Arabidopsis thaliana: one gene and its partners. The protein of the gene in region 2 interacts with the protein of the main gene of each other region in a pairwise test. Each region holds a gene or a part of one and is shown on either strand. Other genes may lie near its edges.

Evidence for each region.
Region 1: the proteins of IQD6 (region 2) and NRT1:2 interact in a protein complementation assay, tested with the Arabidopsis thaliana proteins (one large-scale study listed by BioGRID).
Region 3: the proteins of IQD6 (region 2) and AT5G38030 interact in a protein complementation assay, tested with the Arabidopsis thaliana proteins (one large-scale study listed by BioGRID).

What each region holds. Positions count from the first base shown.
Region 1 is NC_003070.9:26,298,611-26,302,366, forward strand, and holds the start of NRT1:2 (nitrate transporter 1:2), read right to left. Parts: upstream 2,075-3,756; 5' UTR 1,798-2,074; coding exon 1,795-1,797; intron 1,665-1,794; coding exon 1,559-1,664; intron 1,424-1,558; coding exon 1,206-1,423; intron 1-1,205. UniProt on the Arabidopsis thaliana protein: Low-affinity proton-dependent nitrate transporter. Involved in constitutive nitrate uptake. Not involved in histidine or dipeptides transport. Involved in (+)-abscisic acid (ABA) transport, but not in gibberellin, indole-3-acetic acid or jasmonic acid import.
Region 2 is NC_003071.7:11,143,489-11,147,244, reverse strand, and holds the start of IQD6 (IQ-domain 6), read left to right. Parts: upstream 1-2,141; 5' UTR 2,142-2,262; coding exon 2,263-2,328; intron 2,329-2,402; coding exon 2,403-2,630; intron 2,631-2,707; coding exon 2,708-2,935; intron 2,936-3,007; coding exon 3,008-3,121; intron 3,122-3,197; coding exon 3,198-3,756. UniProt on the Arabidopsis thaliana protein: May be involved in cooperative interactions with calmodulins or calmodulin-like proteins. Recruits calmodulin proteins to microtubules, thus being a potential scaffold in cellular signaling and trafficking.
Region 3 is NC_003076.8:15,173,876-15,177,631, reverse strand, and holds the start of AT5G38030 (MATE efflux family protein), read left to right. Parts: upstream 1-2,065; 5' UTR 2,066-2,329; coding exon 2,330-2,629; intron 2,630-3,050; coding exon 3,051-3,592; intron 3,593-3,694; coding exon 3,695-3,756.

The DNA of each region.
Region 1 (3,756 bases), on a different chromosome or scaffold from region 2:
GTGATACAAATAATTGAAACCGTTATGAACGATGAAACGTCGTTCGTTATTAAATGAGGTATGGACAAAGCCTAATTTTCGTGTGGTCGCCTCATTGGCCACTGCCTTTTCTTGAAGAAATAACTTCGGTTACACTGACGTAACACCAGGGTTTTAAAAGTTTTGGACTCTAGTATACATTATCCAATCATATATTGATATATGTTGATTCTAGATGAATGTATATGGAATATAAATACTTCATATCATACAAGTAAATGACTCAAATCTATAAAAAGTGACAAGGAGATTATAAGTTAAGTCAGCTATATATATTTTCTTGTAATCTGTTATAAGTTTTCTAATGAAGTTATGATAGTGTATAGGTATACATGAACCATCAATATCTCTATCCATAATGGGAAGTAGAAGAGTGAGCGTTTGCGTTTGCGTCCGGCCAAACGCTACCCACAAAGCATTAAGAGCCCCAACTGTACTTTAGAACTACAAGTTTGTTTTGTCTTTTGTAACATTAAGTTGCAGAGTCACGAGGGTACGAGTGGCAGATGTTATATAAGTGGACATTATAGTTTCATACCCTATCATACGTAAAGACAAGATAACAAAATAAAATAAAAAGCTTGCTGTGTTACTGAAACCCAAGAAAGAGTTTTTAAATTTCCTCTTTTAACCCTGAGACAGTGACAGTTAAAACTGATAAAAATACGTTTGGGTCCCGACCTTAACATACGGATTTTTTATAGATGTTATCACGTATGTGTCGTGTTAGGATCAAAACAAAGCATTGCTTATAGATACGGATACGGTACCGTATCAAAGTCACGCTCCTCTTTGCTTTTGTCCTTTTTATCAGCATCCTAATGCACGCATGGTTCGTTGGATTTTTTTTTGCTACAACCATATTTTCATGTGTGATAATTTTCTTTTATGCTAATAATTGTATAGATATACATGTGGGATCTATTTTAATGTGAACGGATTTATGATTGTGGTGGCTTAGCCATTAAAAACAAAAGTCAACGGTAGTAACTTAAAACTTAAGCGATAGAGAAAAGAAAACTAAAGTAATCTAATGGATAACAAAGTTTCTGAATATTTTTATAAGTGGAGTTTGATTTGTTGTTCCTTGTTAAGTTTAGAAATTTTAAAGATTAACAAAATGTAAAAAAATGAAGTGATTATAAGAATGATTAAGAGAGGTTTACCAAAAACTCGATGGAAGCTGAGATGAGGAAGATTTGAAAAGTGGAGAAGAAAGCGTCGGAGAGGAAACCACCGAGGAGAGCTAGGAGAAAAGCTGTGCCCATGAAATTGGTGACGTCATTTGCCGATTTTGATGGAGACATGTGCATGTATTCTCTTAGGTATAGCACAAGATTACTCGCATTCGCCAAATACGCTAGATTCTCTAATATCTCCACCACTTCATAAGAGACAAATATATATGAATCAATCACAATGATCCATTAGAGAATCGTTCTTAATATAAATGTGTGGATGATAAAGAAAAAGATGCATTAAGAGAATCGAGGGGTAAATTTGGAATTTTGAAACTGACCTAAGACGAAAGAGGCGGCGAGCATGCCACCGTGACGGCCTTTCACGGCTGCTCTGTTTCTCCAATCGGCGTAGCCTTCCCATCTTGAGACCTCTTCTTCCACTTCCTGTAATAATATGGCAAAGAACAAAACAAGACTTTGAGAAAAAGACATATATTTCTATAAAAGGAAACATCATCAAATATTGATTTCTTGAACGATGAAGAAAATAATGTGAGAAGCTTCAAGAACCCACCATTCTCTCTCTTTCTTTCTCTCAAACTTTGAGGTAGAGGAGATATAAAAAAAGGTTTTTATGAAATATAAGAGTGAAAGTGAGAAGGGTATTAGCGGAATTTAAAGAGAGGAGAGGAGAAGGGATTGAGGAAGGGTCCAATTGGGTGAGAAGAAAGAAGAATTTGGGCCCTCTTTATTATTAGAAAATGACTTCATGTTGTAGTTTTCTTTATGCTCTTCTTAGGAAATAACATTGTTTTCTTCTCCTCTAGAGAAAACTAGCTTTATTTCTTTGTTTTTAGGGCACTAAAGATGATATTAATTCCAAGAATTTATAAAGCTAGTAATATAGTGGTGGAATAAAGACTAATCAATCATGTTTGTTTTCCCTTTACTTAATATGCAAGTTGATTTTGAAATGGGGTTTCCAATACCAATTAACATATGAGAATTGATTTTGTTCTATTATTCTCTACAAGGTATAGTGGTAACAAAGTTTAAGGATTGATTGCATATCGATTACTCACATTATATTATTCGTTCACATTTACATGTTAATGAACACTAAATTCTTCTAGATAGTTAAAGAATGACATAGATTGTTTCACGTAAAATAAACTTTTAGTCTACCACATTTATCTGGTCATAATTATTAAATAAAATACACACTATATTTGGGTTTGGTTTGTTTAATGGAGAAGGATGCAAGTAAATCCAAAAAAAAAAAGTTGAGGGCAAGATAAAGGTGATGGAAGGAATCAAGCCCTCCACTTAATGGCTTTAAAATAAATTTAGTGAAACTATCTTTTTGACTAAAACAAAAATGAAGTAGAACATTCACTTAATCTAGACCTACTGATTCCTCCTCTTTCTATTCATGGCAGTTTTCATTGCAAAATATCTCCAATAAAATGATGTTACTAATTACCTCTTTTGACGTCTTAAATTCTTTTGAGATAGAATCATAAATAAACTATGTTTTTGTTTGTCGGGTAATATTGAACTATATATGTTAATGGCTGATATTTGTAAACCATTTTCTATGTACTTTTTATTAGCAATTTAGGTAAAAAAAATGTGATCGTATTTTTGTTTAAAAGATAAAATAAACTGTTGTCTCTATATATGATGGTTTTGCCAGAAGATCTTTCTTTCGGAACTCCATTAATATTGGATACGTGTCGTCTACGCAGAACTTTATTGTTACCACGCACACAAACACACACACACACACAGTGTGAAGAAAAACTTATTTAATTTAATATCGCATATATAAACACACACTCACTGATCAGTGACGAATGCTCGGAGGAGCTATAGTGGTTAAAGTAATTTTTGTATTTGTACTGCCAATATATCTAAAATTCAAATTGAAAGTTCATATATAATAGAAATAATAGACAATAAAACAACAAAGTAACCATTATCATGGCATGGATACAAGAATATGCTGAAATTTAACTAATGCTTTTTTTTTAGGCCAGTGCTATTCTACTATTCTCAGAATTGAATATATTGATTATTCCAGTGCCATATATGAATACGTATTTGTGTGTACGTGTATACATGTTGGAGTATATGATTCAAATTCACAAGGACAAGGCTCTAATCACCCTGAGGTCTTTTTATAACGAAGAATCCAATACTGTTTGGGAGGACTTTAACATTAAAGTGATCTCATGCAACTAAAGAAACAAGTTGCATAGACAAGTGTCGTGTTTTTCTTATCCATGCAATATTTGTTTTGTTTTCTTGATTTATTTCCCTTCCATTAAGGAATTTTATTGTAAACCTGGTTCAGTCTCTATTGCAAACTTTTTCTCTTCAGAATTTATTGTTGTGGTTAACATAAACAACAAACCACATCCTTTAGTTAAAACACTGTTTTTTTTTTGGTGTTAATTTTAGTTAAAAACACAATTGTCAATGAGAAATAAAATATTCCGGTGAATTAGAAAGCATGTACCGAAAAAAAATCCGA
Region 2 (3,756 bases):
TTTTATGTCACTCGAGTATGATTCTTAATTTGAATTAATATACAATGAGCCGAAAAACATCTAAAACTATCAAAATGATTCATTTGTACTAAACTACTAATAGGCAGTACTGCTAATAGGTAACGAAAATACGAAGACTTTTTCTTACCGCCATGCAAAAAGTTGACAATGAAGGCGAAGTTGCAAAACCTCAATTGAAGAAAGTTGATTATATCAGAAAAGTCAACAACGGACAAATAATATTGGATATGAAGAAATCCAACCTAGTCCAACAGTAGAGAAACCATAAGTTTAGTCAAATTCCAAAGAAAGCTCCAACAACTAAAGAAGTTAAAAAAGGATTTTGACTATCTCTTCTCTCTACCTTCAAAGATATGTGAAAAACGACCCAAAGCCAAAGTTACACTCCTATGTCTAAAGAATTCGTTTGCCGAAAGTGATCCGCTTAATATGATCTAAAATTATTTACAATAGAGAGTGTTGAATTGATTTAATAGGATATTGCAAATGATGATGAAAATGAGGTGGATTAAATTGTGTTAAAAAACAATAGTTGGTTTTGATTTGCTTTTTTTTTTTGGTATCAGGAATTCAATCTCTGGATTTCATCGTCAATGTATTATGATCCTCAATTGAAAAATGGCAAAAGATTTTATTTAATACAATATTTTTGTGTTCTCTCTTCTAATTCATTTCATGGGTTTCATGTAGAGTCTGTTTCCAATTTATTTATTTGTGTGTTGTAATACTCTATGATTTTGATTTATTTTTAGTTTGTAACATATTGTTTCTATCTCATTTCCTCTTTAAGAGCTATGCCACCACCATTCTGGTTGATTTGTGAGTTAGCACATTAATCGCTAATGTACATCATATCAGAAACAACTCTTGACTCGATTTTTTTTACTTTCATTGTATGTTTAATGTAGTTTTTTCTTCAACATTGGGCCACAATTGGCCGGCCCATTAGCCAGACAAACAACTCTTGGATCGAATTTTTTTCCTTTCATTGTGTATTTCATGTAGTTTTTTTTCAACATTGGGCCACAATTGTCCGGCCCATTAGCCAAATCCCTACATTTGTATCGAGCGGGACTCAATCCCAAGTGTGATGGTGCATGTTTTCGGTGGTACATGTTTTCATGTAATTTTTGTTTTATTATTTTAAGAAGTTATCATCAATTAGAATTAATTGTATATATCTCATTTTCATTGTATAGCTAAGGACCCAATCTTTACAGAGTTCATCTTTTTTCTCTGTCTGATTAATCTTTTTTTTTTATTATGTCTAATTAATCTTAAAGTTGCTAGACAAATAGATTCATGTACAAGATTCACTCAAACTAAATATGAGCGAGAAAAAATAGTATATATATTGAAAACTAAATTTGGGAGATACATGGGCATTTTTTTCGATTCTTTAACTCGTGAATTTAGGTTGTTCTTTTGTCGTTTCAGTTGTTGTTTTTTTGTATCAATCACTCGTGAATTTAGTTTTTTTATGAGAGCATAATTTATTATAATTTGCAATAGAGTTGTAAAGTTTAAATTGCTATAACGCTGTTTTGTGGAGAGTTAAATAGGGTGTTGACTGTTGAGTCATAAGACCAATGTGTATGGTCTTAGAAAGAAAACCTTGTCATAATTATATAAGATAATAAGTTCTGTTATAGAGGTTATTAGACAAGTGATAGGTCTAACCAGTCCAAATCACAAAATCCAAAAGCTAAACATTGCTTTTCGAAAGAGAATGTATTTCGTAAATCTGATTTGCAACATTTTGGGAAGTTTAAATTTCGAATCCAATGATATAAGAATAATAAAACAAAACAAGGTATTACATGAACATGAGTGAGTCACTGTAAAAAGTAAAAAACAACAAAAAGCCTAACATACATATATATATATATTTATTAATTTATTGTACCTTTTCATGGTTTCTTTTTTCATGCCTGTAACTCTGAGAAGGACACAGACACATTTGTTTGTGTAAGTAATAAATAAGTGTGAAAACACAATCAGAGACAAAAGCCTAAAGACTCGAGCAAACTTTTTATTAATATTTTGTTTGTTGCTTTGCTTTGATTTGTTCAAATTTCAAAAACTTCTCTTTAACCCACCACTCCCTCCATTACCACCACAACTTCACATTCTCCGATATTCTCTCTCTCTCTATCAATCTCTCACTCTCAAACTTTCTACATACCTGAAGAAAAAAATAATCTACGAATTCGAGCCAAAAAGATCGAAACTTTTTAATCTATGGGTGCTTCAGGGAAATGGGTCAAGTCCATTATCGGTCTCAAGAAGCTAGAGAAGGATGAAATCGTAAGTTCATTATCTTTTTTTTTTGTTCTCTCGTTCAAAGGTTAAAGCTTTATCGAGAGATACTCTGTTTTCAGGAAAAGGGTAATGGGAAAAACAAGAAATGGAAGCTATGGAGGACTACTTCAGTAGATTCATGGAAGGGTTTTCGAGGAAAACATCGGTCTGATTCAGACGGTGTTGATTCTTCTACTGTTTACTCTGCTGCTGTTGCTACTGTTCTTAGAGCTCCTCCTAAAGATTTCAAAGCTGTTAGAGAAGAATGGGCTGCTATTAGAATCCAAACCGCTTTTCGTGGATTCTTGGTGAGTTTGCTAATTGGTTTTGATTAGAATTGAGAGGAATAGAACTTAGTTTAATTTGAGGATTTGTTGTTAATTAGGCGAGAAGAGCGTTGAGGGCATTGAAAGGGATAGTGAGGTTACAAGCTTTAGTGAGAGGAAGACAAGTTAGGAAACAAGCAGCTGTTACATTGAGATGCATGCAAGCTTTGGTGAGAGTACAAGCTCGTGTTAGAGCTCGTCGTGTGAGGATGACTGTTGAAGGACAAGCTGTTCAAAAGCTTTTAGATGAACATAGAACCAAATCTGATCTCTTGAAAGAAGTCGAGGTTCTTGTCTTTACCTTTTTAGCTCATTGGTTTGATGATTGTTTATTGTTTTGAGATTTGTTATGTTCTCAGGAAGGGTGGTGTGATAGGAAAGGTACTGTGGATGATATTAAGTCAAAGTTGCAGCAGAGACAAGAAGGTGCTTTTAAGAGGGAACGTGCTTTGGCTTATGCTCTTGCTCAAAAGGTAACTAACTTGTCCACATTCAACATCTTGTTTAAGTTCGTGTCTGAAGCTGAATCGGGAATCTTGTTTTGTGTAGCAATGGAGGTCAACTACTAGCTCAAACCTTAAGACGAATAGTTCGATTTCGTATCTTAAAAGTCAAGAGTTTGATAAGAATAGTTGGGGATGGAGTTGGTTGGAGCGTTGGATGGCTGCTAGGCCATGGGAGACTAGACTTATGGACACTGTTGATACCGCTGCCACGCCTCCTCCTCTGCCTCATAAACATTTGAAATCACCGGAAACTGCGGATGTTGTTCAAGTTAGAAGAAACAATGTGACCACTAGAGTATCTGCAAAACCTCCTCCTCATATGCTGTCTTCAAGTCCTGGTTATGAGTTTAACGAGAGCTCAGGTTCATCCTCGATTTGTACTTCAACTACGCCTGTTTCTGGAAAAACTGGACTTGTTTCAGATAACTCTAGCAGTCAAGCAAAAAAGCACAAGCCAAGTTACATGAGCTTGACTGAATCGACAAAGGCTAAGCGAAGAACTAACCGCGGTCTCAGGCAATCTATGGATGAGTTTCAGTTTATGAAGAACTCTGGAATGTTTACAGGGGAATTGAAGACTAGTCCTTCCTCAGATCCTTTTG
Region 3 (3,756 bases), on a different chromosome or scaffold from region 2:
TCCTTGTACAGCTCTTCGTCTCGCTGTTACTGCTTTACCCTTTAGCATGTAAAGTGTACCAACTTTTTCAGCCTTCATCAATGTTATGCATCCCTTTATGACCTTTAAAATCCCATTCTTGGATTTAAACCAGCATCCCTTGTTCTCAAGTGTCCCTAAGGATATGAGATTCTTTGACATGCCCGGAATATACATGACGTTAGTCAACAAGACTGTTGTTCCATCGTCATTCAAGATCCTCACACTTCCAATCCCTTTAACCTGTAAAGTAGTGTCATTTGCCATTGACACATTTCCAGATTCAGAAAATACCAAGTCCTCAAACCATTCTTTTCTTGAGCTCATATGAGAAGTACAACCTGTGTCACAAATCCATTCTTCAGAGCTTCCTTTACTTGCTCGAGCAGCAGCTTCTGAAACCATGAACACAGACCCACCAGAAACAATACTTTGCGCTGATGATTCTTCATATCTAACTGACTTCTTCCTTGACTTGTTCTTTTTCTCTTGGAAGCACTCTGTCTTGACATGTCCCTTTTGTCCACATCTCCAACATGGACCTTTCTTTTCTCTTGCCTCAGATCTGACCTTCTCTTTTCCCTTAGCTTGTTCTTCTCTGTAATCTGACCTTTCTCTTTCCCTTAAAGACAAACGCTTCTCTTCTTCCTCTGTTTGTCTTTCTATTTGAGCAACCTCAAGCTCTTTCTTGTATATTGCAGTCATTACTCTACCCAAAGTTAAGGGTTCCTCGCAATAATCTAAAGAGTACTTAAGCTGTTCAAGCTTTCTAGGGAGAGACAAAAGCAACATGAATGCTTTGTCTTCATCAGACACATAAACATCTAACTTTTCTAGATCTTCAACTATCCTGAAGAAATCTTCTATATTCTCTTCTACAGCCTTGTTTTCACTCATCTTAAACTCAAAGAGCTTCCTTTTAAGAGATATACGACTTGATAGTGGATCAGACAAGTAGAGTTTATCTAGAACACTTATCATACCTGCAGCAGTCTCCTCTGTTCTGATTCTTCTTAGGATATTGTCTGCAACACTAAGTATGATAACAGATCTGGCCTTGTTCTCCTTCTCTTCTCGTGAATGGTCTTTCTTGTGTTCTTCTCTTCTTCTTTCTGAGCTTGAAGACACGACCTTCACCCTTTCTGTCTCAACAGCTTCCTTCTTTTCTTCTTTCTCCTTTAGAGCATCTGAGATACCCATAACTTCAAGCTGAGCAAGAAGCTTTCTTTTCCACAGTGTGTAATCTCCTCTCCCGTCGAATCTTTCGAATCTAGGTTCTTGAGAGGTTTCCTCCTTAACCTGGAGCTCTGATACCATTTTGTGGAGATTTTGGGTGTTAAAGTAGCGACCTTTATCACCATAAACCCCTCTCTTTCTCTCCATTACACTCGTGTGAAGAAACTTAGAAAGAAAGACTTGAAGCAGAGTAGAAACTGAGAAATTGCAGAGAAAGTAAAGTGCAAGAGAGAGTTTTACGTGTTCGGGTCTCAGTGTGAAACCCTACTCACGCCGGGAAACTTATTGTCCCGGAATCCACTAGAATCAGTCCTTATATACAGTTGGCTCTTACTAGAGCTTGTACATACACAACTCATTAACTACATTCAACCAAACACGCCATTCCATCTCATCTACTCTCTGCATCTTTGATTCTTTGTCCCCTGTTTTTCATGTTTTGTTCGAACACTTCTACAAAGAACAAAACGACACAGACCTTTTAAAGGAAACAATGCTGCAGGCGTGCTTCCTCTTCAACGACTTGTACGAGATGGGCTTCTTGCGTATGGGCCTGAAGTTTTCTAACTTTGAATCAAACCTTCTGATTCTTTGAGAGTCTTCTCTTGCCTTCTCTTCTCATTCATGAAACTCGAAGACAAACTCTCACAGTCTATATTCGTTGTTTATGTTTTAAGTTTTAACTAAAAATGTTAAAAGCGTTCAGTCAAGGTTTAGGTTTGGTTTGGGCCTAGTCTTAAGATTTTTGTTTCATGAATATAAAAGAAAGAATAAACCAAAAGTAAAACCTACATTCAAAAAAAAAAAACGATGAAAAGTCCATACTTGTCGTGTACGATTAAACCCAATGACGTGTTCGTATTAAAATTTTAAACTGAACCACCAATTTTAAACCTTACTTGCGCTGCATCAATTTTATCAACACATCAATATTTCTTAACATTAGGAAATTAACTTATTAAACAGAAATTATTTTCTATATAATTCATGTATGACTAATCCCAAGATGCTCACTCTTTGGTCTTTAGTCTTTTACATGCTTTAATCTTTCCATCTTTGTCTCTATCTCGTGGATATGGAAGAAGACAAAATTCTTACGGAGACCCTTCTATCTGCGGCGGAAGAACCACCTGCTCTTCCTTTCTCATCCGTGGAAGATATTCCTCCGATCACCACCGTTGGTGGCTTCGTCAAGGAGTTCAACGTGGAGGTCAAAAAGCTATGGTACTTGGCAGGGCCAGCCATTTTCATGTCTATAACCCAATATTCTCTCGGCGCTGCTACTCAGGTCTTCGCCGGACACATCAGCACCATCGCTCTCGCAGCGGTCTCCGTTGAAAACTCGGTCATCGCTGGATTCTCATTTGGTGTCATGGTAAATTAATATCCCCTTGTTGACCTTTTTGGTTTGCGTTTATCATTCAAATGTGCTGAATTTAATACTATTAGTTTGGGAGATATACCTCTAAATCATTCAAAATGTTTTTTTTTTTTAAACCATTCAAAATGTTTTGAGCTAGTTCTAAAATATCATTTTCAATAATATAAATCAAAATGTTGCAAAAAAAGATATTTAAAAGATCAAAAATAAATATGATAGTAAATGTATAACACAAACAAAAAAAATGTAAGCACAAACGCCAAAAAAAAAGAACGAAATCTTGTGCGATTTTTCAATTTGTAGTAAGATTATAATAGTTTTTATTACCATATAAACCATATTTATAAGTAAGATATTCTAAGAAACTTTTTTTTTTTGAGTTGTAATAATAATTGTGAATGTGACCATTAATTAGCTTGGAATGGGAAGCGCGTTAGAAACGCTATGTGGACAAGCGTTTGGAGCAGGGAAATTGTCAATGCTTGGCGTTTACTTGCAACGATCATGGGTGATACTAAACGTGACCGCGGTTATTCTCTCGCTTCTTTACATCTTCGCCGCTCCAATCCTCGCGTTCATCGGTCAAACGCCGGCGATCTCTAGCGCCACGGGAATATTTTCCATCTACATGATCCCTCAGATCTTTGCTTACGCTGTTAATTACCCAACGGCTAAGTTCTTGCAATCACAAAGCAAAATCATGGTGATGGCTGCGATATCAGCGGTTGCACTTGTTCTACACGTGCTCCTCACGTGGTTTGTCATTGAGGGGCTCCAGTGGGGCACGGCGGGTCTAGCCGTCGTGCTCAACGCCTCGTGGTGGTTCATTGTCGTGGCGCAGCTTGTGTACATATTTAGTGGTACATGCGGTGAAGCTTGGTCTGGATTCTCATGGGAAGCTTTTCATAATTTGTGGAGTTTCGTCAGATTATCTTTGGCTTCTGCTGTTATGCTCTGGTTGGTCACAACCACACCCATACGACTCTATCGTTAATGTTATTATCATTGTTCAATTTGGTTAACTTTTTATCATATTATTGTTTATTTTTACTTTGGAAGTTTGGAGGTATGGTATCTTATGGCAGTCATATTATTTGCTGGATATTTGAAGAATGCTGAGA